Linked DNA regions of Mus musculus. The protein of the gene in region 7 purifies or fractionates together with the protein of the main gene of each other region. This does not show direct contact. Links are inferred from orthologs where the notes say so. Each region holds a gene or a part of one and is shown on either strand. Other genes may lie near its edges. The genes, in order: Rpl5, Parp1, Ddx21, H1f10, Gtpbp4, Hnrnpu and Npm1.

Evidence for each region.
Region 1: the proteins of Npm1 (region 7) and Rpl5 purify together in Homo sapiens (affinity purification with mass spectrometry; 4 studies listed by BioGRID and IntAct, counting the BioPlex papers as one, with this or other methods). This does not show direct contact. The link is inferred for Mus musculus from reciprocal best matches to the Homo sapiens genes NPM1 and RPL5.
Region 2: the proteins of Npm1 (region 7) and Parp1 purify together in Homo sapiens (affinity purification with western blotting; 3 studies listed by BioGRID, with this or other methods). This does not show direct contact. The link is inferred for Mus musculus from reciprocal best matches to the Homo sapiens genes NPM1 and PARP1.
Region 3: the proteins of Npm1 (region 7) and Ddx21 purify together in Homo sapiens (affinity purification with mass spectrometry; 3 studies listed by BioGRID and IntAct, counting the BioPlex papers as one, with this or other methods). This does not show direct contact. The link is inferred for Mus musculus from reciprocal best matches to the Homo sapiens genes NPM1 and DDX21.
Region 4: the proteins of Npm1 (region 7) and H1f10 purify together in Homo sapiens (affinity purification with mass spectrometry; 3 studies listed by BioGRID and IntAct, with this or other methods). This does not show direct contact. The link is inferred for Mus musculus from reciprocal best matches to the Homo sapiens genes NPM1 and H1-10.
Region 5: the proteins of Npm1 (region 7) and Gtpbp4 purify together in Homo sapiens (affinity purification with mass spectrometry; 3 studies listed by BioGRID and IntAct, counting the BioPlex papers as one, with this or other methods). This does not show direct contact. The link is inferred for Mus musculus from reciprocal best matches to the Homo sapiens genes NPM1 and GTPBP4.
Region 6: the proteins of Npm1 (region 7) and Hnrnpu purify together in Homo sapiens (affinity purification with mass spectrometry; 3 studies listed by BioGRID and IntAct, with this or other methods). This does not show direct contact. The link is inferred for Mus musculus from reciprocal best matches to the Homo sapiens genes NPM1 and HNRNPU.

What each region holds. Positions count from the first base shown.
Region 1 is NC_000071.6:107,906,517-107,909,505, reverse strand, and holds the end of Rpl5 (60S ribosomal protein L5), read right to left. Parts: intron 2,318-2,989; coding exon 2,229-2,317; intron 2,162-2,228; exon of another isoform or gene 2,030-2,161; intron 1,610-2,029; coding exon 1,510-1,609; 3' UTR 501-1,509; downstream 1-500. Other genes in the region: Dipk1a (divergent protein kinase domain 1A), read left to right, coding at 1-102.
Region 2 is NC_000067.6:180,571,891-180,575,390, reverse strand, and holds part of Parp1 (poly [ADP-ribose] polymerase 1), read right to left. Parts: intron 1,740-3,500; coding exon 1,574-1,739; intron 1-1,573. UniProt on the Homo sapiens protein: Poly-ADP-ribosyltransferase that mediates poly-ADP-ribosylation of proteins and plays a key role in DNA repair.
Region 3 is NC_000076.6:62,599,499-62,603,445, forward strand, and holds the start of Ddx21 (nucleolar RNA helicase 2), read right to left. Parts: upstream 2,801-3,947; 5' UTR 2,717-2,800; coding exon 2,630-2,716; intron 1-2,629.
Region 4 is NC_000072.6:87,979,921-87,982,911, reverse strand, and holds H1f10 (H1 histone family, member X), read left to right. Parts: upstream 1-1,429; 5' UTR 1,430-1,555; coding exon 1,556-2,122; 3' UTR 2,123-2,491; downstream 2,492-2,991.
Region 5 is NC_000079.6:8,979,013-8,982,512, forward strand, and holds part of Gtpbp4 (nucleolar GTP-binding protein 1), read right to left. Parts: intron 968-3,500; coding exon 890-967; intron 469-889; coding exon 417-468; intron 1-416. UniProt on the Homo sapiens protein: Involved in the biogenesis of the 60S ribosomal subunit. Acts as a TP53 repressor, preventing TP53 stabilization and cell cycle arrest.
Region 6 is NC_000067.6:178,335,016-178,339,218, forward strand, and holds the start of Hnrnpu (heterogeneous nuclear ribonucleoprotein U), read right to left. Parts: upstream 2,801-4,203; 5' UTR 2,557-2,800; coding exon 1,938-2,556; intron 1,144-1,937; coding exon 1,032-1,143; intron 941-1,031; coding exon 867-940; intron 1-866. UniProt on the Homo sapiens protein: DNA- and RNA-binding protein involved in several cellular processes such as nuclear chromatin organization, telomere-length regulation, transcription, mRNA alternative splicing and stability, Xist-mediated transcriptional silencing and mitotic cell progression.
Region 7 is NC_000077.6:33,153,207-33,156,706, reverse strand, and holds part of Npm1 (nucleophosmin), read left to right. Parts: coding exon 1-43; intron 44-602; coding exon 603-704; intron 705-1,486; coding exon of another isoform or gene 1,487-1,495; exon of another isoform or gene 1,496-2,646; coding exon 2,647-2,721; intron 2,722-3,500. UniProt on the Homo sapiens protein: Involved in diverse cellular processes such as ribosome biogenesis, centrosome duplication, protein chaperoning, histone assembly, cell proliferation, and regulation of tumor suppressors p53/TP53 and ARF.

The DNA.
Region 1 (2,989 bases), on a different chromosome or scaffold from region 7:
CTCAAAGTCACAGCAAATCAAATGGAAATGGAACATTCTTTGATATTAAATAACCTAAAAACGTTATTGTGGAAGAAAATTTCCTACACAAATGACTCTTAGTTCATTTGGACTACTGCCATCATTGAGAATCTACTTATGATTTTGAGCATTTAAAGAGTGGCTTCTGCCCCCCAGGCCTGTGGAGTCATCATCTTAAATGCATGTTGTAACAATAATGGCAGGTGTAGGGCCAAGATGTCCAAAACTCATCCCTGCCCTTTTACAAGTCCACAAGTATATTCACTGTTAACTATCTTGACTTTAAAAAAAAAAAATTAATGCTGTGAAAATCCTCATTCCATAAACAGTGAGTGTTCTGTAGATGTTAGCCAGTCCCATTGCCGGACATTGTTTGCATTGAAGCTGCTGTTTAAACAAGGAAATTTATACATGAATTTACTAATGTTTTAGCATGGTAAAACTTTGCACATTAACACAAATTAAGAATGCCACACAGGTAAATTCAAATGACTCATTTATTAAAAAGTTCAGTTAATATAGCATGATTTACTGTGTACTTACACACTTTAACTTCAGATGGAGTCAACTGTGGAATGGCTTTTAGCTTCGGCATATATTCTACATGCTGAAGTTAGCATGCAGTTATCACTGTGACTGAAACTCATTATCTTTAAGCTCTGATAGGTTCATCTTAGTATCGTCACATTATCTTTGCTGGGGATGTAGGTAAGCAGTTAACTGTTTACCTGACCTGTGTAGCCCCAGTACCACAGAGCCTGACACTGTGAGGCAAGGCAAAGATGATAAAGATGCACAGCACCTCAGCTAAGACTGGATTAAGTCAGGAAGACAATTCTTGCTCCTTCTGGGATGAAGGGCTATTTACTAAGAGGCATAAGCACCTAATGCTTTCCCAAGTGAACCTGATATTCAAGGTTTAATATTTGACCCTTTCAAGTTATTTTCCTATGTACATTCATGTCTGGCATGTACCATAAAAATGAAACGTCCTAGACACCCCCTTCTCCTCAAACCAAATTTCACCGTTGTTCTCAAATCTTTAAAGCCATGGATTAGCACCAGTTGTTCACTTCCAAGATTGACCTTGAGATACTTTCTTCCCACTAATCAATTTGTTTGTAATAAATGTCCTGATGATCATGCTAATTACCAGATCTGAAAATCTGAAAGATAAGGACACCTCCCAGGAAGACTAGAAACCCAAGAAACACTCATGAGATTTGCAGGAACCCATGTAAGCTGGTTTTTCCTGGAGAAAGACTCTCAGCTAGGCATGGTAATACTTGCCCTTAATCCCACCAGTGGTAGGTTATGGTGCAACACAAAAGGTAAAATTAATTTAATTAATTAAATAACTATCTACTTCTTTGCTTTTGTAATTTCACACTATTTCCTATAGTCTCATTAATAACAGCTTAACACAGAAAAAGCTGCTTGATCAATATGTTTATTGTCTTTATGAAAAAATCTTCATAGAAAACTGCTTTAGCTTTCAGCAGCCCTTTCCTGAGCTCTGAGGAAGCTTGCCTTCTTTTGAGCAACCCGATCTTTCTTCTGGGCAAGAGACATTTTGGGACGATTCCACCTACAAAACAAAGTAAGGAATAAGACAGGAATATCTCTCAAGTGCAGCTGAAAAAAAAAATGACAAAACCTTTGTAATTGGATAGATTGAAAATCTCATTATCTGAAGATGTGTGTGTGTGTGTGTGTATGCATGTGTGTATATTATAGGTTTTCCTATATATCCTTTAGTTGGCTTTGAACTTGTTGCAATTGTCATGCCTCAAAACCTGAGTACACACATTAAGTTCTAATCCGGGTACTCAACTGCAATGGCTATATTCTCATTGTTTACGCCATCAAACTCAAGTCTATCTCAGCTGAGCATGATGGCTCACACTACAAGCCCAGTATTCACATTGTCAGGTAGAGGCAGAAATGTTATGAATTCAGGCAGGCAAAGAAAGGTTACTCTATAGGTAGCTAAAAAGAAACCATGCAGGACTGTACTGTAACAGAATGGGCACCTCAGTAGCTTCTGAGGTTGGCACATTGCTGTCACCACAATTACTCTAGCAAACCTGGTTCCCTCAGCTGCTGCCACATTATGCAGAGCTAGTGATCGAGTTTGCTCAAGTGCACAGAAATCTGACCAGCAAGATGCAGCGGGTTTCTTTCCTAGAGAATTGTAAACCACCCACCTCTTCTTCTTCACTTCTCTCTTGGGCTTCTTCTCATAGACTGGATTCTCTCGGATAGCAGCATGAGCTTTCTTATACATCTCCTCCATCTGGAAGAAAGCAAAGCAAACAGTATTTGCCTTCATTTCATGTGCCCTAAAGGTACAGTACCACCTGCATTCAGTTCTCAAAGGATCCTAACTAAGCCAATATTACCTCCTTATATCCCCAAGTGCAGCCCACCCTTATCCTTACATCTCACTGTTTAGGATGAACACCTGCATGCTTTCCTGAGAACTACAAGCCCATTTTTGTACAACTATACCATACTCTGTAGTCTACTGCCTCACCTAAATTCTTTCAAAAGAAGGTGTACACCTAAAAGATGTGAACTATACAGGGATAAAGACACACTAACAAGTGAGAGCAAGGGCATGAGGAGGGGGTTATCCTACCAAACTAGGTAACAATTTTTTTATCATCCCAAATATCCAAATTTATATTCCCTCTTATGTGACAGGCCTTTTAAGCCAGCACCAGAGACATACTATACCGTTGCCAATTTTAGTACGTGGTAGCTATCTTATTAGATTTCATTACTGGAACCTTTGATTCAAGTTTGTTTTAAAAAATTAAATTCAATGTGGTGGTGTACGCCTTTAATCCCAGGGAGGCAGAGGCAGGCGGATTTCTGAGTTCGAGGCCAGCCTGGTCTACAGAGTGAGTTCCAGGATAGCCAGGGCTACACAGAGAAACCCTGTCTCGAAAAACAAAAACAAATT
Region 2 (3,500 bases), on a different chromosome or scaffold from region 7:
GAGAAGAAAGCGCATAGATTTCCTTTTCTCCCTGAAACAAAACCCAGGCAACTCTAACCCACGAAGTTAGAAGTCAGAACAGAAGCCAGGGGTTGAAGGCGCACACCTGCAATTTCAGCACTCAGGAGGAATGCTGGCTCTGCAGTCTGTATTTATTTGTTTGGGGATGTGGTCTCCCTATATATCACTGGCTGTCCTTGAACTCACAGAGATCTGCCTGCCGAAGGTCTGTTTTTTGTTTGTTTTTAAGAAGGAAGGAAGGAGCTGGGCATGGTGGTGCACGCCTTTAATCCCAGCACTTTGGAGGCAGAGGCAGGCGGATTTCTGAGTTCGAGGCCAGCCTGGTCTACAAAGTGAGTTCCAGGACAGCCAGGGCTACACAGAGAAACCTTGTCTCGAAAAACCAAAAAACCAAACAAGAAGGAGGAAGGAATTGGCAGAGGTTTCCTCCTGGGTACCATCCGTGTACAGGACCTGGAAGTCATCAGTGGTAGGTACATCACCTACCCATCCACCCCCCCACCCACCCACCCACCCACCCATCCGTCTGTCTGTCCGTCCGTCCATCCATCCATCCATCCGTCCGTCCACCCACCCACCCATCCATCCATCCATCCACCCACCCATCCATCCATCCATCCATCCAAGCCCACAGAACACACACCATCAGCAAAGGACATCAATGTGAAAGAAAATGAGATTTTGTAACTTGTGATTCATGTGAAAGAGTTGTCTATGAGCCCTCGGTCTGAGGCCGAGAACAAAGCAGGACAAACAGGGCTATCTTGTCTGGGTCAACACCACCTGGCCGGAACCTCCCCTCTGTCTACTGCCCCTCGACGCCAAGTCATACATCAACTGGTTGCTATGTGAACAAGATAAGCCCCCAGCCCACAGGAACAAAGTTCTGATGCCCTTTTGCTGACATGTAATCTTTCTGTTAATGTTAGAATAAGCCAATAGTGTGTCGCTATGCTGAATTCCACACCCCTAAGCCCCTCACCCCATAAAAACCCCTAGCTTTACATCCGTTATCTCCTGTGTGGGATACATGTCGGTCCGGAGCTCTGTAATTAAACGTCCTCATGTATTTACATCAAGATGGTCGTCCGTTCGTGATTCTTGGGTGCATACCGAATCGGGAATTGAGTGGGGGTTTCCCCACTAGGTTCTATCAGACGCACTGGTGGGGGTGGGGTGGCTATGGGAGCGCTTTGCTCTCGTGTTTCTCTCAGTTTTCCTAAAGCACGTGCTATGCAAACCTGGCGATCTGAGTTCAATTCCTGGAGCCCGTGGGAGAGAGCCAACCCAGTAAAGCTGTCTTTAACCTCCACATGCATATTGTACCACACACGTGTGCATGCACTAACATACACACACATACACCCACAACTAATAAAATAAAAAATTAAAACCTATTAAAAAAAAAAATCCATGCAAGCTTAAAGTCTTCCTTTCCATCATCTGGAAGATAAGACACCAAACCTCACACAAGAGTCAACACGGCCCGAGGAGGAGCCACAGAAGCAACTCAGCAGATAGAGAGAGAGCGCTTGAACCCCTGGCCACACACCTGCCACGCCTCCAGCCTCGGCCGTCTTCTTGACCTTCTGCTGATCATCCCAGCGCAGCTCAGAGAAGCCATCCACCTCAACATCAGGCTGCCGGATGGAGTGGCCCACCTTCCAGAAGCAGGAGAAGTGGTACCAGTGTGGGACTTTCCCATCGAACATGGGTGACTAAGGAACATAAAGCAGAGGTGAGGGGTCGTTAGTCTCCATGCAGGCCACAATCCTGCCCCCAGCCCAGGCAGCAACAGAGGCTGCCTGATGCTCTCTCAGGTCACATGGTGACTGGCAAATGGATGAGAAACAGCTTCTGGCTTCTCATCCTGGGTATTTTCCTAAAAGCTAAAACTTATGGCTGGCCACCCCCAAATCCATCTCAGGATGACAGGGTAACCCCGGTTCCTTGTGTGTGCCACATTCTGACTTTACTGCACAGCCTGGTGTGACACACAGAATTCCTAAAGTGTCCCGTAGACCTGTTAGAAGAGCCAGGAAGCAGCACTTGAACTCAAGGGTCTGGATGGCCCAGAAATGGCTCTTAAGTACCTCTGTGGTTAAAAATAATAAGGAACGGGACCTAGATAATGAACCAGGCAGAGAAAATGTGTCAGCAGAGTGTCAGACACAGCAAGGCATACATGCACAGGTGCATAGAAGGAACGGCTTCTGCAAGGGGAACAAGGAGCCTGAGGCAGAGGCTTCCAGGCCTGGAGATAGGCTGAATACTGGCCTCAGGGAGGCACCTGATCCCCCAATGTGCCTGAGGTAAAGGCACTGGGCCACTTTTTTCGCCTATGAGGCTCTACACCCAGGGTTGCCTGTTTTAGAGATGGTGACAGCCTGAGATGAGGGAGACAACGACATTAACCCAGTTTCCTCTGGGAACACCGCAGCAACAGCAGCAGCAGCTCACAGATGGTGGCAACAATGGAGACACAGTGAGGCGAATGGGACAAGAATCTGATACTGAGTTCTCCCCCACCCCAACTTCAGAAGAGCTACTTGACACGAACTGCCTTCTGACCCACTGAGGTGAGTGCTCATTAGGGCTGCTTCAAAGGGCAGAGAGGGAAAACACATAAGCAGTATTGAAGAGATCCCCTGAAGCTTCAGGTTAGAGTCAGCCTCCTTTTAGTTACATTACAGTGCAAGGCAGAGTTGGCTAAGGAGACAGTTCAGTGGCTAAGTTGTTCCACTACAGGACCTGGGTTCTATTCCTAGCACCCAGAAGGTCGTTCACAACCATCTGTAACCCCAGTTTCAGAGGATCTGACATCTTCTGACCTCTCTTGGCACCAGGTAGGAGATGCACAGACAAACATGCAGGCAAGACACTCATTCAAAAACTTTAAAAAGCAAGGCAAGATCTGCCTAGGTGACCCAATAGGAATTATGTGCTCGGGCAGGCTCCTGAAAGGAAGACGCCCTGCTAGCCTCCTCAGGTGCCTCAAGGCCCCGCCCACTGCTGCCCTCAGGGCAGTTTTACTGAGACAGAATCTGTCCCCAGTCAGGCAGAGGAGGAAGGTGGGGGACCGGCAGCAAAGATGGCCCCTAGACCAGATAATAAATGGTGTTTTTGAGCGGACTCAGCTTCTGGCTCGAGACACTCCATCGGATCAGCAGCTTCAGATCCCCGACCCCTGTGGCAAATGGCTTATGCCGCCTGCCTCAGCCTATAGCTATGGCTCTACAAGAACAAACACCTACCACCCCCAGACTGGGTGCCCTAAACTGGGGACACCAAGAAGTACTCCCTAATGGTGCACTTGATACAAAACCAGCTCAGCTGGTAAGAGCACTGACTGCTCTTCCAAAGGTCCTGAGTTCAAATCCCAGCAACCACATGGTGGCTCACAACCATGTAATGAGATCTGACGTAATGAGATCTATAATGAGATCTGACGCCCTCTTCTGGAGTGTCTGAAGACAGCT
Region 3 (3,947 bases), on a different chromosome or scaffold from region 7:
AAAGTTTTAAAGTGAATTTAAAAAAAAAAAAAAAAAAAAAAAAAACAGGAGACCATGAATTTGAGATGAGCAAGGTGGGAATTCCATGGAAGGGGCTGGAGGGAGGAGAGGGGGGGGAGTGATGTAACTATGATTCTGGAGGGAGGAGAGGGGGGAGTGATGTAACTATGATTCTGGAGGGAGGAGAGGGGGGAGTGATGTAACTATGATTCTGGCTGTCCTGGGAATGAACTCTGCAGGACCAGGCTGGTATCAAACTCATGAGAGATCTGACTTCCTAGAGTTAAAGTCATGTTACTACACCTGGCTTAATGTAATTTTAATTATAAAAGGTCACACAGTACGTACGCTTTTTAATACCACTTCTTAGCTACAATGAAAAGAAGTATATTGCAATAGTCACTAACATGGGGGAAATAAAAGAGTTCTTCAAACTAAGTCTTCAGCTCATATTGGCCAATCATTATAAACTTTTTTTTTTCTTTTGGAGACAGGGTTTCTCTGTGTAGACCTGGCTGTCCTGGAACTCACTTTGTAGACCAGGCTGGCCTTGAACTCAGAAATCCACCTGTCTCTGCCTCCCAAGTGCTGGGATTAAAGACATGCACCACCACTGCCCGGCAAGACTAATTTTTTAAAGAGACTACCAAGGCTCTAAACTACATACTCGGAAAAAATGGTTCAGGGGGAAAATGCTTACTCTGCCACTATGAGGGTTTGACAGGAAACTCTAGCAGCCACTGAATAATGAGTGTGGTGGCACATGCCTGTCACCCTAGCTGGTGGGGCTGGAGTGGGCAGCTAGCCAGCCTAGGTGTCCCCAAAAGTGTGTATCACTACAAGCCAGCGAAGTGGCGATACACACTTTAATCCCATCACTCAGGAGTTAGAGGGAGGTGGATCTCTATGTTCATGGCCGGCCGGGTCTACAGAGCAAGTTCCAGAATAGCCAGGGCTATAGAGAAACTGTCTGTGGGGGCTGGTGAGATGGCTCAGTGGGTAAGAGCACCCGACTGCACCCGAAGGTCCAGAGTTCAAATCCCAGCAACCACATGGTGGCTCACAACCATCTGTAACAAGATCTGACTCCCTCTTCTGGTGTGTCTGAAGAGAGCTACAGTGTACTTACTATAATAATAAATAAAATCTTTAAAAAAAAAAAAAGATTAAAAAAAAAGAAAAACTGTCTGTGGGTGGAGGGTAGGGTGAGTGAGAGTGGGGAAAATAAGTGATAAAGGCACCCACCCAACATTGACCTCAAACTTCTGTAACCCCAGGGGCAAGCATACCCATCCATCCATACATACATACATACACACACACACAGTATCAGTGAGCAAGCACTGTCCAAAAGGTAACTATGAAGGAAGGAAAGAAAGAAAAGAAAGAGAGAGAGAGAGAGAGCGAGCAAGCAAACTTTGGGTGTCCTCATAACAGCAACAACAGGTTTCTTTTCCCTCCAAAATTTCTATATGGTAAAACACTCAAGAAATGTGTACTTCAATGTGGATTCTCGTAGACACTATATGAAACAAAACTACCAAAAAAATTCATATATCATTTGCGTCTGTGAAACTTTATTTGGACTTTATTTAAATGTGCAACTTTTCATATGGAAAATTTGTACCGATTATTAGCCACCTACTAGATAGACTCTAGTAGTGTTCCAGGCAGTAAAGACTAAATCATAATGGACTAAATTCTCAAATCATGGCCTAAGGTAGCGATTCTCAACTTTTCAAATAGTTCATATTGTAGTGACCCCCAACCAGAAAATTATCCCGTTGTTACTTTAATTTTTGCTACCGTTATGAATCATAATATAAACATCTGCAGATTATCTGTCAGGCTGAGAACCGCTGGGCTAAGGGCTAGAGCTACAGTGGGACAGCACCTGCCAACACGTGAGCTGCCCAAGGTTTGGTCCTGGTACCACAAAAACCATCTTAAAAATACTGTATCGTGGACAATCTCTCCGCCCCATGAACATGTTATCTACTACATATATGAAAAACAGTAAGTCGAGTTCGGAATATAAACGCGTAGCTAGGTCCCTCCCTCCTGACTTCAGCATCAGGCAGCTGAACACGCGGATGTGAACGCTGTGCGCCCAGTGATTTCCACCTAATTCAAATACTACTGCTGCTCCTTTAAAAGGCTCCTACCTTCAAAGTCAACAGAGACAGCAAAAAAAAAACTCAATTAAGTCGTACAACATAGGAGTTCCGGGATAATTTCCGAACCCTCCTACTTTGATAGATACTGTCACAAGTTTAATATTTTTATGCAAGGAATTAAGAAGAGACAAGGCGATTTAACAGTGCTCACACAGATCCTTCTATATAATAGGGTGATCACTTAGCCAACCACGTTTTCTGTTTTGGGTTTTCTTTTTTTTTTCTTTTCTTTTCTTTTTTAAAGAGGGAACTGTGTCTGTGTGTCACAGCAGATGCCGACCATGTGCGCAAGTTTCAGACTTTGCCGTCTTCGGCTCTGGTCCGCACTGTGACGCGATCGGCAATCCCTTCCGCACTCCCAAGCCTGACCAGCCGACACGGCGTGTCAGAGGGCCGGCCACGAGCTCCCGGCCCGGCCCAGTTCGGGGACACCCCCCTCCCCCCAGGCTCACCTTCTCGCTTGGCTTCGGCAGCGTCTCCATGCTCTCCTCGGCCCCGTCTGAGCCCAACTTGGCCCCACTGCGGAGTTTTCCCGGCATTATTCAGCAGCAGCTTCTCAGGCCTACCGGCTTCCTCAACCGCGTGCTAGGAGAGAGGGCGACAGAGAAAGCGGACCGCCCCTCAGCCGGGCCTATTCGTCACTTCCGCAGCGGAGTGCATCCGGCGGAAGTAGCGTGTACCGGCAAGGCTGCGGTTCGCGCGGCTTTGGGTGAGACCCGTGTGTGCGGCGTGGAGGTGCTCTGCGCGGTCTAACGACAGCGGGATCGCCACGGCTAGACTTGGAGAACGGCCTTGAATCTTACCCTGCTGCCTCCGCTTGCCGAGTCTGGGATTACCAGCTGGCAACATTTTCCCATGAAAAGCTGCGATGTGTACGCTACCTGTGGAAAACGGCTGGGTGGTGACAGATAAACCCAGGTGCTTTGGTGAGCACCGGAATTCAGGGACCGGCGAGATACCACAGTTCTGGTGACCTGAATTTGTGATCCCTGGAAAACAGAACCAGCTGTGCAGTTTTATCGTGCACGCGCTCAGTGGCACCCAGGACACGCATATGCGTGCTGCACAATATGAACAATTTAAAAGAACCAGAATAGGCAGGGCATATGGGGTGCACGCCGCTAATCTCAGCACCCAGGAGCCAGAGGTAGATGGATCTCTATCGAGTCCAGCGTGGTGCACATAGTTCAAGGCTAGCCCGACACATGATGAGATTGTCTCAACAGCTCTCTCCCCGACCCCAAGTAACAACAAAAAATACCCACAATTCACAAGTCTGGCCCTTTATTCATGTGTGCACTTTATAAACTTCCGGGTATTCTTGTATGACGGACAGGGTTCGTTTTTTTGTGTTTTGTTTTTCGAGACAGGGTTTCTCTGTGTAGCCCTGGCTATCCTGGAACTCACTTTGTAGATCAGGCTGGCCTCGAACTCAGAAATCCGCCTGCCTCTGCTTCCAGAGTGGACAGACAGGATTCTAATAACATCCAAGCCCTGCTTGTCCTCAAGCACTACAGACCAAAGTTTCTCAAGGGGGTCGACACTCCGTTGGGGTTCAACGACCCTTTTACCAGTGGTCATATATCAAATATTTACATTAAGATTCAATAGCAAAATTACAGTTTTGAAGTAGCAATTTTTTTTTTCAGAGCTGAGGACTGAACCCAGAGCCTTGCGCTTGCTAGGCAAACGCTCTACAGCTGAGCTAAATCCTCAACAACTAAAATTAATTCATTTTATGGTTGGGGATCACCACAACGTAAGAGGCAT
Region 4 (2,991 bases), on a different chromosome or scaffold from region 7:
AAAGAGGGTAGTGAGTCCAGGAGAGCCTGCACCCTATAGCCCGCTGTCCCTCAAAACTCACAGGCCCCTTGGCCCTCCTCCTGAGAACGAGTCACAAGAGGATGACTTGGGCTCTGGGCTCTGCTAAACCCTGGCCACTTCCTGACGATCCTTCCTTTGATGGGGATGAGGTCGTGGGGTGCGGGGAGGCTGGCACACCCACGAGTACTGAGTTTGAAAGGCTGAGAATCTGGGCCTTCTTGATCTACAGGCAGTCACTCCCTCTTTTCACCCAAGAGGCCAGGGAACTGCTTACCTATTGGAACAAAGCTGGCCTGGACGCTTTAGTGGTGTCTACTATGTCCTCCGCAGGCTGGCCATTGCCTGCACAGCCCTCTCTCCACCGTTGGACTACTTCCCAGGCTTTCAGGTCCTTCTCTGTACCACCACCTCCTTCAAGTCCTCCCGCACCAAGTGATGCAGTATTCGATCCCCCAAAGCCGGCAGGATCCTCAAAAGCCAAATCCCCTGCCACACCCTCTAAGGGAAATGCCTTAAGGGTAACCTTACACTTTTCCATCCTGGAGCCCCCATCTAATTCTGAGGGGTCCAGGGACGGCTACTTAAGCATCACAAAATGGGGTACTTGGGGCCAGAGAGTGGTGAGGAAGTGTCTAGGGAGAGGCCCTTGTGGTCGTGCCTGCACTGACTCATCTTTGAGATGCCAGGCGTGCAACCTCAGGGCAATTCCCTTCTGTTGGTTCCCCTTAGGATTCTGAGAAGACCCCCGCCCCAGCACGCTCTCGGGCTTTGCCTTGCTCCTGTCGGCCGCGTGAGGGCGTACCCTGTGTTAGTTGGGACAAATTAATGCCCTTCCTGCGGGCAGGGCTGTGGTCCCCTGGGCCCAGAACCAACTCAGGTGCCTGAGGAGCACTCTTGTCTGCCGCCTGCAAAGTTCTCGGTCTTGGGGTCTCGCCCGGGGCCCGTGCTAATCCTTTGCAAATCGAGCGCCCCCCTCCTCCATGCTCCTATAGCCTGGGGTACACACCTCTGAGCCGCTCCGCTGAGCCCGTCCTAGGCGCAGGCCGCCTCTGCGCAGCGCAGCGGGCTCGGATGCTGTCCAGGGCACACTGCTGAGGGTGCAGCCGCGCCCGGGAGCCGCGGGCGGAGGAGCCAGTGGCCGCGGAAGGCGCTCCAAGAAGCACAAGTTGGCGCTGGACTGGGCCCAGGCTGTTGTTGTTCTCAACGTGGTCCGCCACGGGGAAATAAAAGCGGAGCGGGGCGCGCTCTCCGCCAGAGCGTAGCGCGCACGCCCAGAGCTCCGGAGCCCGCGCAGTGCTGCCGCGCTCCCCGCAGGCTCCTCTCCGCATCCCACCCCCCCAGCCCCGCCGCGGCCGGCCCGGCCCCCGCCCGCACCTCAGCCCTGCCGCCTGGTCCCAGGCCCGGCCGCGGCCGCTCCCGCCTGGAGCCGCCGCGCGCCCCCAGTCCCCCGGCGCCGCCGCGGCCCCTCGCCTTCCTCTTCCCGGCGCGGCCCCCCGGCTACCGCGCGCCGCCTGCCGCCAACCCGCTGGCCACCATGTCGGTGGAGCTTGAGGAGGCCCTGCCGCCAACGAGCGCCGACGGGACGGCCCGCAAGACGGCCAAGGCCGGCGGCTCTGCGGCGCCCACGCAGCCCAAGAGAAGGAAGAACCGCAAGAAGAACCAGCCAGGCAAGTACAGCCAGCTGGTGGTGGAGACCATCCGCAAGCTGGGGGAGCGCGGCGGCTCGTCTCTGGCGCGCATCTACGCTGAGGCCAGGAAGGTGGCATGGTTCGACCAGCAGAACGGGCGCACCTACCTCAAGTACTCTATCCGGGCGCTGGTGCAGAACGATACGCTACTGCAGGTGAAGGGCACCGGCGCCAACGGATCCTTCAAGCTGAACCGCAAGAAGCTGGAGGGCGGCGCGGAGCGGCGCGGAGCTTCGGCGGCCAGCAGCCCCGCGCCCAAGGCGCGCACGGCGGCGGCGGACAGAACGCCCGCCAGGCCGCAGCCGGAGCGGCGCGCGCACAAGAGCAAGAAGGCGGCGGCTGCTGCCAGCGCGAAGAAAGTGAAGAAGGCGGCCAAACCCAGCGTGCCCAAGGTGCCCAAGGGCCGCAAGTGACGCCCCTACGGTCTGGCGACATCGTCGAGTTTTCCATCTGTCTCTATCCCTATCCGCCCCCCCCACCCTCGGTGTACCGGTTCCGTAGGGTTCCGCCTGGCCCAGGTCCCTGATCCCTGTCCCCTCCCCCGCCCCTCCCCCAGCGATGCTGCGTTCTGTTTGCTTTAGGTTTTTGAAACGGCCCTGGCGACGCCCCCATTGGCTCTCACCCTTGGCAACGGCCGTCGCCATGGTTACCGGCCCGGCGGCGCCAATGGCCTGGTGGCGCCTGCCTACTGTGCCCGCTGATGGCCACCAGGCGCTTGGGTTGTGTGGCGCCTTGCTCCGCCCGCTGCCTTCCTGGGGCGCAATAAACGGTTCCAACCTTGACCATTGTCGTTGTCTTGTGGGCGCTGGAGGCTGCTTGGGGTTCCTGCGGGGGAGTCGAGGGTCATTAAGACCAGCTAGACAACTAGCAGGCGCTGCCAGAGGTGGGACAGATGTGCCCAGAGACAGCTGCCCAGTGGAGAACTCTTGTAAAAGTGGGTTCCCAGTCTTGGGTTGCTGCAGTGTCCAGCATATAAAAGATAAAAGATTTCTACATGTTGGAAATTAAACCTCAGGATCTAGTGCAACATAATGGACAGTTTTACCAAATGGAAGACTAGGAAGGTTCTGAACAGTATGTACACATACAAGTAGGGTGAGATGGAACCCGAGTTAGGGGAGGGTTACATGGTGCTCTTTCCCTGTATCACCTTTTTGGGTCTTGGCAGTGTCTTGAGGGTGGGAAGGGACCAGTGTTTCTTGGCAGGTGTGATCATGAAGCAGACTGAGCTGCCCAAAGTGGGCATTTCACTGCCTCTTGGATGTCTGGTACCTGGCTGAAG
Region 5 (3,500 bases), on a different chromosome or scaffold from region 7:
CCCCCACTTCCCAACCCACCCACTGCTTCCTGGCCCTGGCATTCCCCATGTACTGGGGCATATAATCTTCACAAGGCAAGGGCCTCAAGTCTGCAACTTCTAATCTTCAAAACAGTAAAAACTTGGGGGCTGGAGAGATGGCTTGGCAGTTAAGAGCACTGACTGCTCTTGCAGAGGTCCTGAGTTCAATTCCCAGCAACCACATGGTGGCTCACAACCATCTGTAATGGAATCCAATGCTCTCTTCTGGTGTGTCTGAGAGAGTGACAGTGTACTCATATAAATAAAAAAATAAATCTTTAAAGAAAAAAAGCAAAAGCTTATAAACCAATCAACTCACTGGGAGACTTTCACTGAGTTCCTTTCTTTTCTGAAACTCTTTTCATACAACTGACATTACAAAACACCTTACTTACTCTGAAGATCCAAAATGTAATCATCTCCCATTTCCAGCTCAAGATCTCGCTCCTGCAAGAAAATCCCCAAAAGTTTGTTTTAGCTTTTATGTCCCCAGATGCTTTGCAACCTCCTTACCGATGAAACAGCCTCTGACCCTTTATGCATCTATGCCTATCAGGAAGGCTGTTCTTGCCTACCTAGTGGACTATGTATCTCATGGACTTTGTTTACTGCAATCTAACATCAACTGAATGAAAAGCTTCATTCAAGAGTATGTTAAGAATTCACTGCTGTGTCCCTGAATCTTGGAGAGCCCAACCCCCAACCCTGGGTACACTCAGTTTGCATCTCCTGAATCAAGTCCACTTCGAGTGGCTAAAGCCCTGTCTTCTGTTACATACCCACCACCCAGCATTACTTTTTCTCGTGCACAGGCAGGCCTTCTATCCCTTTTCATAAGAAACCCAGACAAAGAGGTCCAGTAGCCTACCCTCTTCTTCTTGGGCTCTTCAATCTCCATTCTCTTCCTTCGAGCTATCACTCCTTCTGGGATGAAAGGGGGTCTCTCCTAAGAAGACATCATTTAAAGTATATGAAATGCATTCCCAAGTATGAGAGAAACTTAAAGGAACCAAACACAAAAAAACAAAGGCAATCTGCAAGGAAGACATAAAACAACCCAAACCAACTGAAATAAAATGTATTCTGGGGAGTTGAGTTTTGGAGCCAGAGTGGGCAAGAGACAAGACAACCCCAAAATTGATTCTAAAGTTCATTTGGAAAAGAATAAAAATTATCCTAAAACATGTAAGAAAAACAAACAGGAAAATAGTAGAATGAGAAACAGACATAAACCTAGGTATGTCTAAAATTCAATAGCATTAAATTCAGTAACTAGTTGAGACCAACGACAACCCCATGATACGAGGCCCACAAGTAATAAACCACACCTCCCTCAGGAAAAAATAAATTCAGCACACACAAAACTTCTATTCAGAAGAGAAATGAAAGCAAACAGAAACAAAAGCATGAAAATACAGAGGAAAATTACACTAAAGTATTTTAGAAATGAATGTTGCCAGTTCTCTGTAGAAAAAAAAATCTAATAACTACGAAAGAAGTATTGATGTTAATGTTCTGAAAATGTGTATCTTATTGAGATGTTTAAGAACAACAACAAAATAAGGAGGGGCTAGAGAGAGAATTCCGTGTTTAAGAAAATGTGTTGTTGTGTTCCTTCCAGTCTGGGCCGGTGCCCTGAGCAGACCTTGGCGAGAATTCCACAGCCAGTCCCACAACTCCCAGAAAAAGCTCCACTCCTAGGTGCTCTAACAAGCCCAAGTCCACATGATCCCAGAGGCAGTTTGACTCCCAGGAGCTCTGACACACCCAGGATTTCAGGATCCCAGAATCCCAGGAAGGACAGGCTCCATCCAGTCCATATAGTGAGGGCAGGTAGCACTAGAGATAATCAGATGGCAGGAAGCAAGCACAAGAGCATAAGCAACAGAAACCAAGGTTACTTGGCATCATCAGAACAGAATTCTCCCACTATACTAAGTCCTGGATACACCATCACACCAAAAAAGCAAGACTCAGATCTAAAAATCACTTCTCATGATGCTGATAGAGGACTTTAAGAAGGACATAAATAATTCCCTTAAAGAAATGCAGGAGAACACAGGTAAACAACTAGAAGCCCTTAAAGAGGAAACACAAAAATCCCTTAAAGAATCACAGGAAAACACAAACAGGTCGAGGAAATGAACAAAACCATACAAGATCTAAAAATGGAAATAGAAACAATAAAGAAATTACAAAGTGAGACAACCCTGAAGTTAGAAAACCTAGGAAAGAGATCCAGAGTCATAGACGCAAGCATCACCAACAGAATACAAAAGATAAAAGAGGTACAGAAGATGCCATAGAAAACATTGACACAACAGTCAAAGAAAATGCAAAATGCAAAAAGATCCTAACCCAAAACATCCAGAAAATCCAGGATATAATGAGAAGACAAACCTAAGGAAAATAGGCATGGAAGAGAGTGAAGATTCCCAACTCAAAGGGCCAATAAATATCTTCAACAAAATTATAGAAGAAAACTTCCCTAACCTAAAGAAAGAGATGCCCATCACCATACAAGAAGCCTACAGAACTCCAAATAAATTGGACCAGATCACATAATAATCAAAACACCAAATGCACTAAACAAAGAATTTTAAAAGCAGTAAGGGAAAAAGGTCAAGTAACATATAAAAGCAGACCTATCAGAATTACACCAGACTTCTCACCAGAAACTATGAAAACTAGAAGATCTTGGGGAGATGTCATACGGACCCTTAAGAGAACACAAATGCCAGCAAAACTCTCAATTACCATAGATGGAGAAACCAAGATATTCCATGACAAAACTAAATTTACACAATATCTTTCCAAAAATCCAGCCCTACAAAAGATAATAGATGGAAAACATCAACACAAGGAGGGAAACTTATACCCTAGAAAAAGCAAGAAAGTAATCTTTCAACAAACTCAAAAGAAGATAGCCCCGCAAACATAATTCTACCTCTAACAACAAAAATAACAGGAATTATCAATGGACTCAATTCCCCAAAAAAAGACATAGACTAACAGACTGGATACATAAAACTGGACCCAGCATTTTGCTGCATACAGGAAATGCACCTCAGTGAAAAAGCAGACACTACCTCAGAGTAAAAGGCTGGAAAACAATTTTCCAAGCAAATGATCCCAAGAAATAAGCTGGAGTAGCCATTCTAATATTTGAATAAAGTCAACTCTCAACCAAAAGTTATCAAAAAAAGATAAGGAAGGACACGTCATACAGGTCAAAGGAAAAATATACCAAGATGAACTCTCAATTCTGAACATCTATACTCCAAATGCAAGGGCACCCACATTCATAAAAGAAACTTTATTAAAGCTCAAAGCACACAATAATAGTGGGAGACTTTAACACCCCACTCTCAGCAATGGACAGGATCACGTAAACAGAAACTAAACAGAGACACAGTGAAACTAGCAGAAGTTATGAACCAAATGGATCTAACAGATATTTATAAAACATTTCATCCTAA
Region 6 (4,203 bases), on a different chromosome or scaffold from region 7:
ACTTAACTCTCAGGGCTCTGAACAATTTGTACAGGGAAAACATGAGAATCCAAGCTTTTAACCCCTTCTACCAAGTGAAATCCTGTAACTAAGCACTGATTTGTACTTTTTTTGTTCTGCTCACACCAAAAGATATGTTCTTATTAAATACTAAACTGACTTCTTTAAAGGATAAAAATACAAATCTGACAGCTAAAGCCCATTTCATGGTTTGCAATACTTCCTCATATTCAATTGCAACCCAACTGGGTTAAGTAGCATATTTACAGTGCTGCCATTGATACCATTCGCTGCTGAAGAAAGCTAGTGGCTCAGATAGCCCACTGCTGCTGCCCCAGGTCTTTGGAAGAAATCAACTTATGTTAAAGCAGCAGCTACTGAACTGGAATTGAGAACAAAAGAGCAGTTATTGAAAGTTAATATTACAATCCTTAGAATAGGGAATACACTTGTGTGCTAATGGGAAAATCAGTAAGTATTCAACTAGCCCAAATAGCTCACTTAACATAGTTCCACGAGAAAAAACTAAATCATGTAATCTAAGGACAAGTTACAGGCAGGTTTTTAAAAAAACAAGTTTCTGATAGCCGAGCAAAAATTATTTAGTTTTACATCCCCCAAGTACTGAGAAGTTTCAACTCGTAAATATTACCAATTACTAGAGCTTGTTAAATCAATACAACTGAAGTGGTATTAATATTAAACTACTGTAGCCTGAGCATTAAGCTACTACCTTCCTGCTTTAAAATAAGTTTCTTAACTGGTTTTTTCCACTTTAAGATCAACACATTTTTCCTAACACTTAAAACCAATGTTAACACTGCACTTGAAAACTAGCAAAGAGCGGGAAAGTCCGCCTCACTTACAAGTATCAAGACAAACCACTGTGTCATCGAAGTGTTCGTCTTCTTCTTCAACAGGTGGCTGAGGAGACTTGGCTCTGAAAGACAGAATTGTCTCCTGATAAAGCTTTCCCCACCTTGTATACAAAAAGAGCGGGCGACTGTTAAAACTGGGTGAGGAGCCTCTACCTGCTGTACTTGTTTTCTTCGATGTACTCAAAATACCCTCGGCCATGATCTTCTCGCGGTCTTTTAACGCCTCTCTTTTTATCTCCACCTTTCTGTTCTGTTTTGCCGTCTCCTATAACGACACAGAACACCGCCTTAAAGCATCAGGCCGAAAACTAAATAATGCAGTTAAGCACCTTTTGTGTTTCGAGCCTCAAGAGCTGTTACTGATTATTTTTTTCTGACTGATTCTTTGACTTTTTTAATCGACAAATGAAAATAAAAAAGTCTGGACTTGGACTGGACACAGTGACGCAGTCTGAAGACTGAACTTGCCAGCCTACCGCAACCTTCCAGAAAGCATTTTTTAAAAAGAGTTTAAAAAAAAAAAAAGCGGGACACCGCCCGGGCCCACGTGCGCCGGCCGCGCTCAAACGAGGGGGGGGGAAGCCTGGGCCCACCTCCCCTCCCCCACACGAGCCCGCGTGCCCCGCCGCCGCATTGTACTGAGCTTCCGCCCCGCTCCCCGCGCCTGCCGCCGGAAGTGACGTCACCACGAGCCCCTGCGCTCCTTGCACAATACCGCGGCGCTAAGCCGCCAAAGCCCGCCCGCTCCGGGACCTTCGGGCTTCTCCCCTCCCCCCACCGCCGACATGTGCCCGGACCGCGCGCACGCAGCGCCCCAGCGGCCGGCGCTCCCGCCCGGCCGGCCCCCCCACCGCGGCAGCTGCAGCGCTCCCCCCACCCCGGCGCCCGACATACATAATGGAGGCGCCGCCGGCATGGCGAGCAGAGCCTCCCGGGGCTCCCCCGCCCCCACCCTCCCGCGGCGCTCGCCCCGAGGGGCCCCGGCAGGCCTGGGGCACGGTCCCCACCGCCACGCGCACCCATCACGCAACACTCACCCGCCACCTTCCGCCTTCTTACCTCCCGCCTGCTGTTGGCCCTGCCTCGCCCCTGGCGGCGCCACCGTCACCGCGAAGAGCGAGGTGGGGCCGCTGCTCTTGCCCGCGGCCTCCTTGCCGGCACCACGCTGCTGGGAAGGCTGCTGCTGCGCCGCCGCTGCCGGCGGTTGGGACTGCTGCTCCCCGTGACCGTTCTCGTCGCCCGCGCCCTCCTCCTCGTCGCCGAGCTCGTCTTCCCCCTCCTGGAAGCCCTGGTCGTCGCCGTTCTCGTCTTCCGACGCTGCCTCCTCTTCCTCCATCGCGCCGGCGTCAGCCGCCCCCGCCGCCCCGTTCTCCTCGCCCAGCTCCATCTGGTCGCCGTCCAGAGCGGCGATGCCCTCCTCCTCCTCGTCGTCTTCGGCGCCAGCCGCGGCCTCCTGCTCTAGGCCCGCTCCCGAGCGCCCGGCCGCATCGCCACCTAGGTCGAGACTGCCGTTCCCGGGCTCCATGGCGGGGCGGCCTCCTGCCTCGTTGTCCAGCGCGGCCTGGAGTCGATCCATGAGATCGGCCTTGAGGCCCTTGTCGGAGAGGCGCCGCTTCTTGAGCTCCTCCTTCAGCTCCGACACCTTCAGCTTCTTGACATTAACAGGCGAAGAACTCATGTTGAGGGCCCCGGTTCCCCGCTGACTGCTGGCTCCCTCGGCCTGTGGCGGCGGCGGCTGCTGCTGGTCGGCCCGGGCGGCGGCTGCGGCTGGAGATGGCTGAGTGCTGCTGCAGAACGGACCCGCCTGGTGTCGAACGGCGCCAATTCCTTTCACCGAGTTCGCGAGGCAAGACGCGGAGACTCGCCCGGCGCGAGCGAGCACGCAACGTCCTCTCGCAGGGGCGGCGCCGCGCACGTAATATAGGCGCCCCGCCCCCTGCCGAGGCGAGGCCCGCTAGAGCGGCTGCGCGCGCAGGCCCCGCCCCGCCCCCACTGCGCGACCTCCGCGCTGGGCCGGACCGCGCAAATGGAGGCTCTTAGAAGCCACCTTTCGGTTAAACGGACCCGCCGCAGTGGCCGCCGGCCTTTCCGGCTCTTGAGCCGCCGCGCTCCACCGGCGCTCTGCCTTCTGTGTCCTGGCGGAGGCTCTCCTCCACCCGCCTTCAGTCCTCACCTGGCATTTTCCACTCGAGAACAACCTCCTTTCTTCCATCTTAGTTTAGTTTTTTGGTTTTCGGGTTGTTTTTTTTGTTGTTGTTTCTTGGGTTTTTTTTTTTTTGTTTTGGTTTTTGTTTTTTTTTTTGTCCCTCCGGCTCTAGGTTTAAAAAACTCTTCAAGTTTCCACCGCTGCCCTGTAGAACACCCATAGGCGATTGTTATGCAAAGGTGGTGTTTTGTTTAGTTTTTCCACCATTTAACTGCGTTTTTAAATTTTACAAGTCCTGCCTTGCCAGTCGGACTTATTTTAAGTTCCGCAAGGGCGAGGCCAGAGCCTTTCTTTTGTCTCTTCCCCAACCAGTGGTGCAAGGTTTGGGAAAGAGGCTTGCTGTACTCCACCATGCCTAACAGCCATATAGAGCGGGCCTTGTGTTGCTACTCACCGTATTTTCTATTGACCTTTGAGTAAGCCTTAGATTTTCATGGAAGTTCCCCTCGTTGTACTATAAAGATAGGCCTCTGTCCCCTGCAAATCTGATCCACCAGTTTGGAGACCCTTTAATTACAGATGAGGAAGACAGCCAGCACCCAGCTAGATTATGCACTTTGATCCTCTCCCTGTTTTTTCAGCCACTCTAAACATGTTTGTATACCTGCTGACTTGTCTACAAACTGGTAGTAACAAAAGGCTGGGATTTAGTAAAAAAAGAAAACACCTGTAGTTCTATTACTTGGCAGAGTGAGGCAGAAGTATCAAGAGTTAAAAGCTAGCCTGGGCTACTTAGTAAATTCCAGGCTTATCTGGGTTGAATACCAGACCCTATCTCAAAAAAGAAAAGAAAAAAAATTATGATTTGTTTTCTGGCATTAAATATGTTGTGTTCTTGAAACTTTTATATAGAATTTAATTTCTACACTGGGGCCTTCCTGTGTAGATTGCACCCAAGCTATGCTTGGTGGTACATGTGTATAATTTCAACACTTGGGAGATACAGGTAAGATGATCAAGAATTCAGTGTCAGCCAGGCAGGCAGTGGTGACACCCAAGTTTGGCTCCAGCGCTCAGGAAGCAGAGGCACCCCACCCACCCACCCCCATCCCCTCACCCCCACCCCCACCCTGTCTATGAAGCCAGTTCCAGGACAGCCAGAGCTACACAAAGAAACCC
Region 7 (3,500 bases):
CCAAAATGGAAAAGACTTAAAACCATCAACACCGAGATCAAAGGTAAGTACCCAACAACAGACCTACTAAATTCAGTGCCTAAAAAAACTTTGTGCTTTGTGGTACTTAACCTTGCCTACATAATAGACTATAGTGCACACTAAGATAGCCCAATACATAAATTTGTGAAGTGTGTCATGTTCTGTGGTGGATTCCAAGGTTGACTTATTTTGTAGACTTGTTGAATTCTGACCTGTTATAGCTTTCACGATCTGGGTGGTGTGTGTGTATTTGTAGAGGTCAGGAGTTGTCTTAAGAGGCTTGTCAGGATTGATTGACTTTATTTTGAAGCATCTCTTCCAATCTTTTACTTTAAGATTTATTTATATAAGTACACTAGCTGTTTTTCAGACAGATGGTTGTGAGCTACCATGTGGTTGCTGGGAATTGAACTCTGACCTCTAACTGCTTATGCATCTTCAGCCCTCTAGTCCTGACAGGCTTTCTAGCTAGGAACAATTAGCAACTTCTCTGTGCTCTATAAGGGATTTTAGGGAGGAGGGAAATCTTGGTAATTACTTTGTTAAGAACTGTACTAATAATCTTTGAAAACTTTTTCCAGGGTCAAGAGTCCTTCAAAAAACAGGAAAAGACTCCTAAAACACCAAAAGGACCTAGTTCTGTAGAAGACATTAAGGCAAAAATGCAAGCAAGTATAGAAAAAGTGAGTAAAATTAACCTTTGAATATTAGAAATTCTACTAATGTGGGAATTTGGGTTAAAAGTAGATTATAAGTAAGAATATTCATAAATTACTCCAATAAAATGTATAAGGGTACTTTTTTTACTGGGGTTATGCTGTAGAACAAGCAGAGGGTGTTTTGTTTTCAGTAAAATTAAAAACAGCTGGAAAAGTAAGAGTAAAGTGGTTGGCTGCCTGAGGTTATTTTATAGCTAAGAAAAAAAGAATCACCTTTAAGTATTTCACAACAATTTGAGTTATTTCTGTGCCCTCTGTTCCAAAGCTCCCTCAGTCCATGACCTGAAATTTGTGTGTGTGGCTAATAGGCTTTCATCTAGTTTGAAATAGAATTTATCTTTCTTGGCATTTGGCTGGGACTAAATACATTTATATAAACCTGGGTTGTGTAGAATGGAATAATACAAATGATTTTTTTTTTTTTTGGAGAGCTAAGTTTATCTCCATTATGATTCTAACATGTGAATTACTTGAATACATGTGGAATGTTATGCAGATTGCCCATTCTTTTTCCTATTTTTTTCCTGTCTTGTAGTTCTCACATGGCTTCAGAAGATTTTCTTCCTTTGTGCAGCCACAAATGGATTGGAATTTAGCACTTGGCAGCACATTTCATATTTCTTATTAAACTGTAAACTTAAGTTTCCTGGTGTCACTGATTTATTTTTTATCCCTTGCATACACTGCTAAAATGATGCCCCTCCCCCCCATTTTAATGTGGTCCTATCTCCTTGGTTTAATTGCAGGCGCATTGAACATTCCTGGGCACTACTGGTAAATTAAGCCCAAAGATGGGGAAAGAGGAAAAGGAGAAACAAATATAGTACCATCAACAATCCAGACATCTCAATCCCCTTTCCTGATTGGCCATCCATTCCCCCTTGCAGGCTGGAAGCAATCTTGTTTTTCCTAAAGCATTTTTCTTTTACTTTTGTGATGCAGAAAACTACTTCTCTACCACTTGTGCATATGCCTCATTTCTTTGACCATGTTTTAACCTTTGTATCCTTAGCTACTCTCAATAAATTTTTAAATGAATCAATAAGGATGTATGTGACAATATTTTCAAATTACCGTAGTGAATTATTTTCTAGGTGATGAAGGCAATTGAGTACCTTAATACTCAAGGTGATTCTGGAATTTGGAAGCCTTAGTCTTGCTAAGTGCATAGAAATGCAAAAAGGTTAAAATTTAGAGAAGTGGATTTTATATGAAATAGGGGATAATCTGTAGTGACACTTTATGCTGATAAGTTAACATTTGCATTGCAGTATCTTAATTTGTAAGAATTTTGGCAGCAAAACTTGCTGATAATTGTGGTTTAGTCTACATTCATAATTGGAAGCATGCCAAATCGATGCTACAGTTAGTAATAAGGTACCTACTTTTAAATCCCTTCAATTGCGTGCTTTCCTAGGTAATTGGAAAACACTTATGAACAGGTCGTATCTAATTTGTTTTTTGGTGATAGGTGATAACATGAATTTGTATATTAGGCACCCAAGTGGCTGTACTTGCATGCCAGTAGAGCCCTCTGTAGTTTAAATTGGCTGTTTGGAAGGAACTGGGCATTAAGCAATAAAAAACCATGGTCTTTCTGGGTTTGGGCCCAGAGTTGGTTTTTTTTTGTTGTGTTTTGTTTTTCCAAGACAGGGTTTCTCTGGCTGTCCTGGAACTCACTTTTGTAGACCAGGCTAAACTCAGAAATCCGCCTGCCTCTGCCTCCCAAATGCTGGGATTAAAGGCGTGCGCCACCATGCCTGGCTTTAATGTTGGTTTTTAATCAAATGGGAATGTTAAAGGGTTATAGTTTGTGTAATGGCATGTAAAACTTTGGAAGTTTTTTCTAATGATGTCTCAAACAATTGCTGTTTGTCCTTAATAATGCTTTTTTTCCCCTCAATAGGGCGGTTCTCTTCCCAAAGTGGAAGCCAAGTTCATTAATTATGTGAAGAATTGTTTCCGGATGACTGACCAGGAGGTAACTGAATTTTCTGTGGACGTGACCAAATCTAAAATTTTCATTGATTTATTATGACTTTTAGTCTCAAGTTGTTGGCTCCTTGTAAAAAGTTCCTAACCACAGACAGTACTTAAATACATGGAAAGAATTTAATTGGCAGACTGAGCAAATAATTTTTTAGTGCACATTTTTCCCAGGTTTTAAATAGTTGGTAAATTATCTCTTGGTTACTGAACTTAGTTTTACTCTTAGTAGTGTATTGGCTAAGGAAATAGGATATGGTTTTTATTTGCTCCATTTGGCTGCTTTACAGTCTGATGATACTTGGACTCTTGGAAGTGGTAGTATCTTCTCCAGATAGCAAAGGAGGGTAAAATTGGTAGAATCAACCTAGATGGGTTAAAGCCTCTTGCATGTCAAGTTACTGTTATGTTTATTGTGGTATTAGGATACTTGGGCCATGCAAGGGCAAAGCACTACCAGTGATCTCTTCCCAGTGGTATGAATTTACAGTGTTAAATAGTAAATATAATGGGTTAATGTTAGACCTTCTGAATGAACAGTTGATTTAATTGGTTTCATCAGTATTGGCTATAGAGGTGTCTATTCAAAAAGAATTAAAAGGAACAATATAGCAGTAGAGTATTAAATGATAGTATTGCCTATTTAAATTATAGCTCCCAGGTTTGTAGTCAAAAGTGGTTAGGATTGAGGCAGACTGTCAATGATTGGAAGTAGTGATGTCATCAAATTCAGTCCTTTCGTGTTAGCTACAGATTGACCTAAGTTTTAGAATT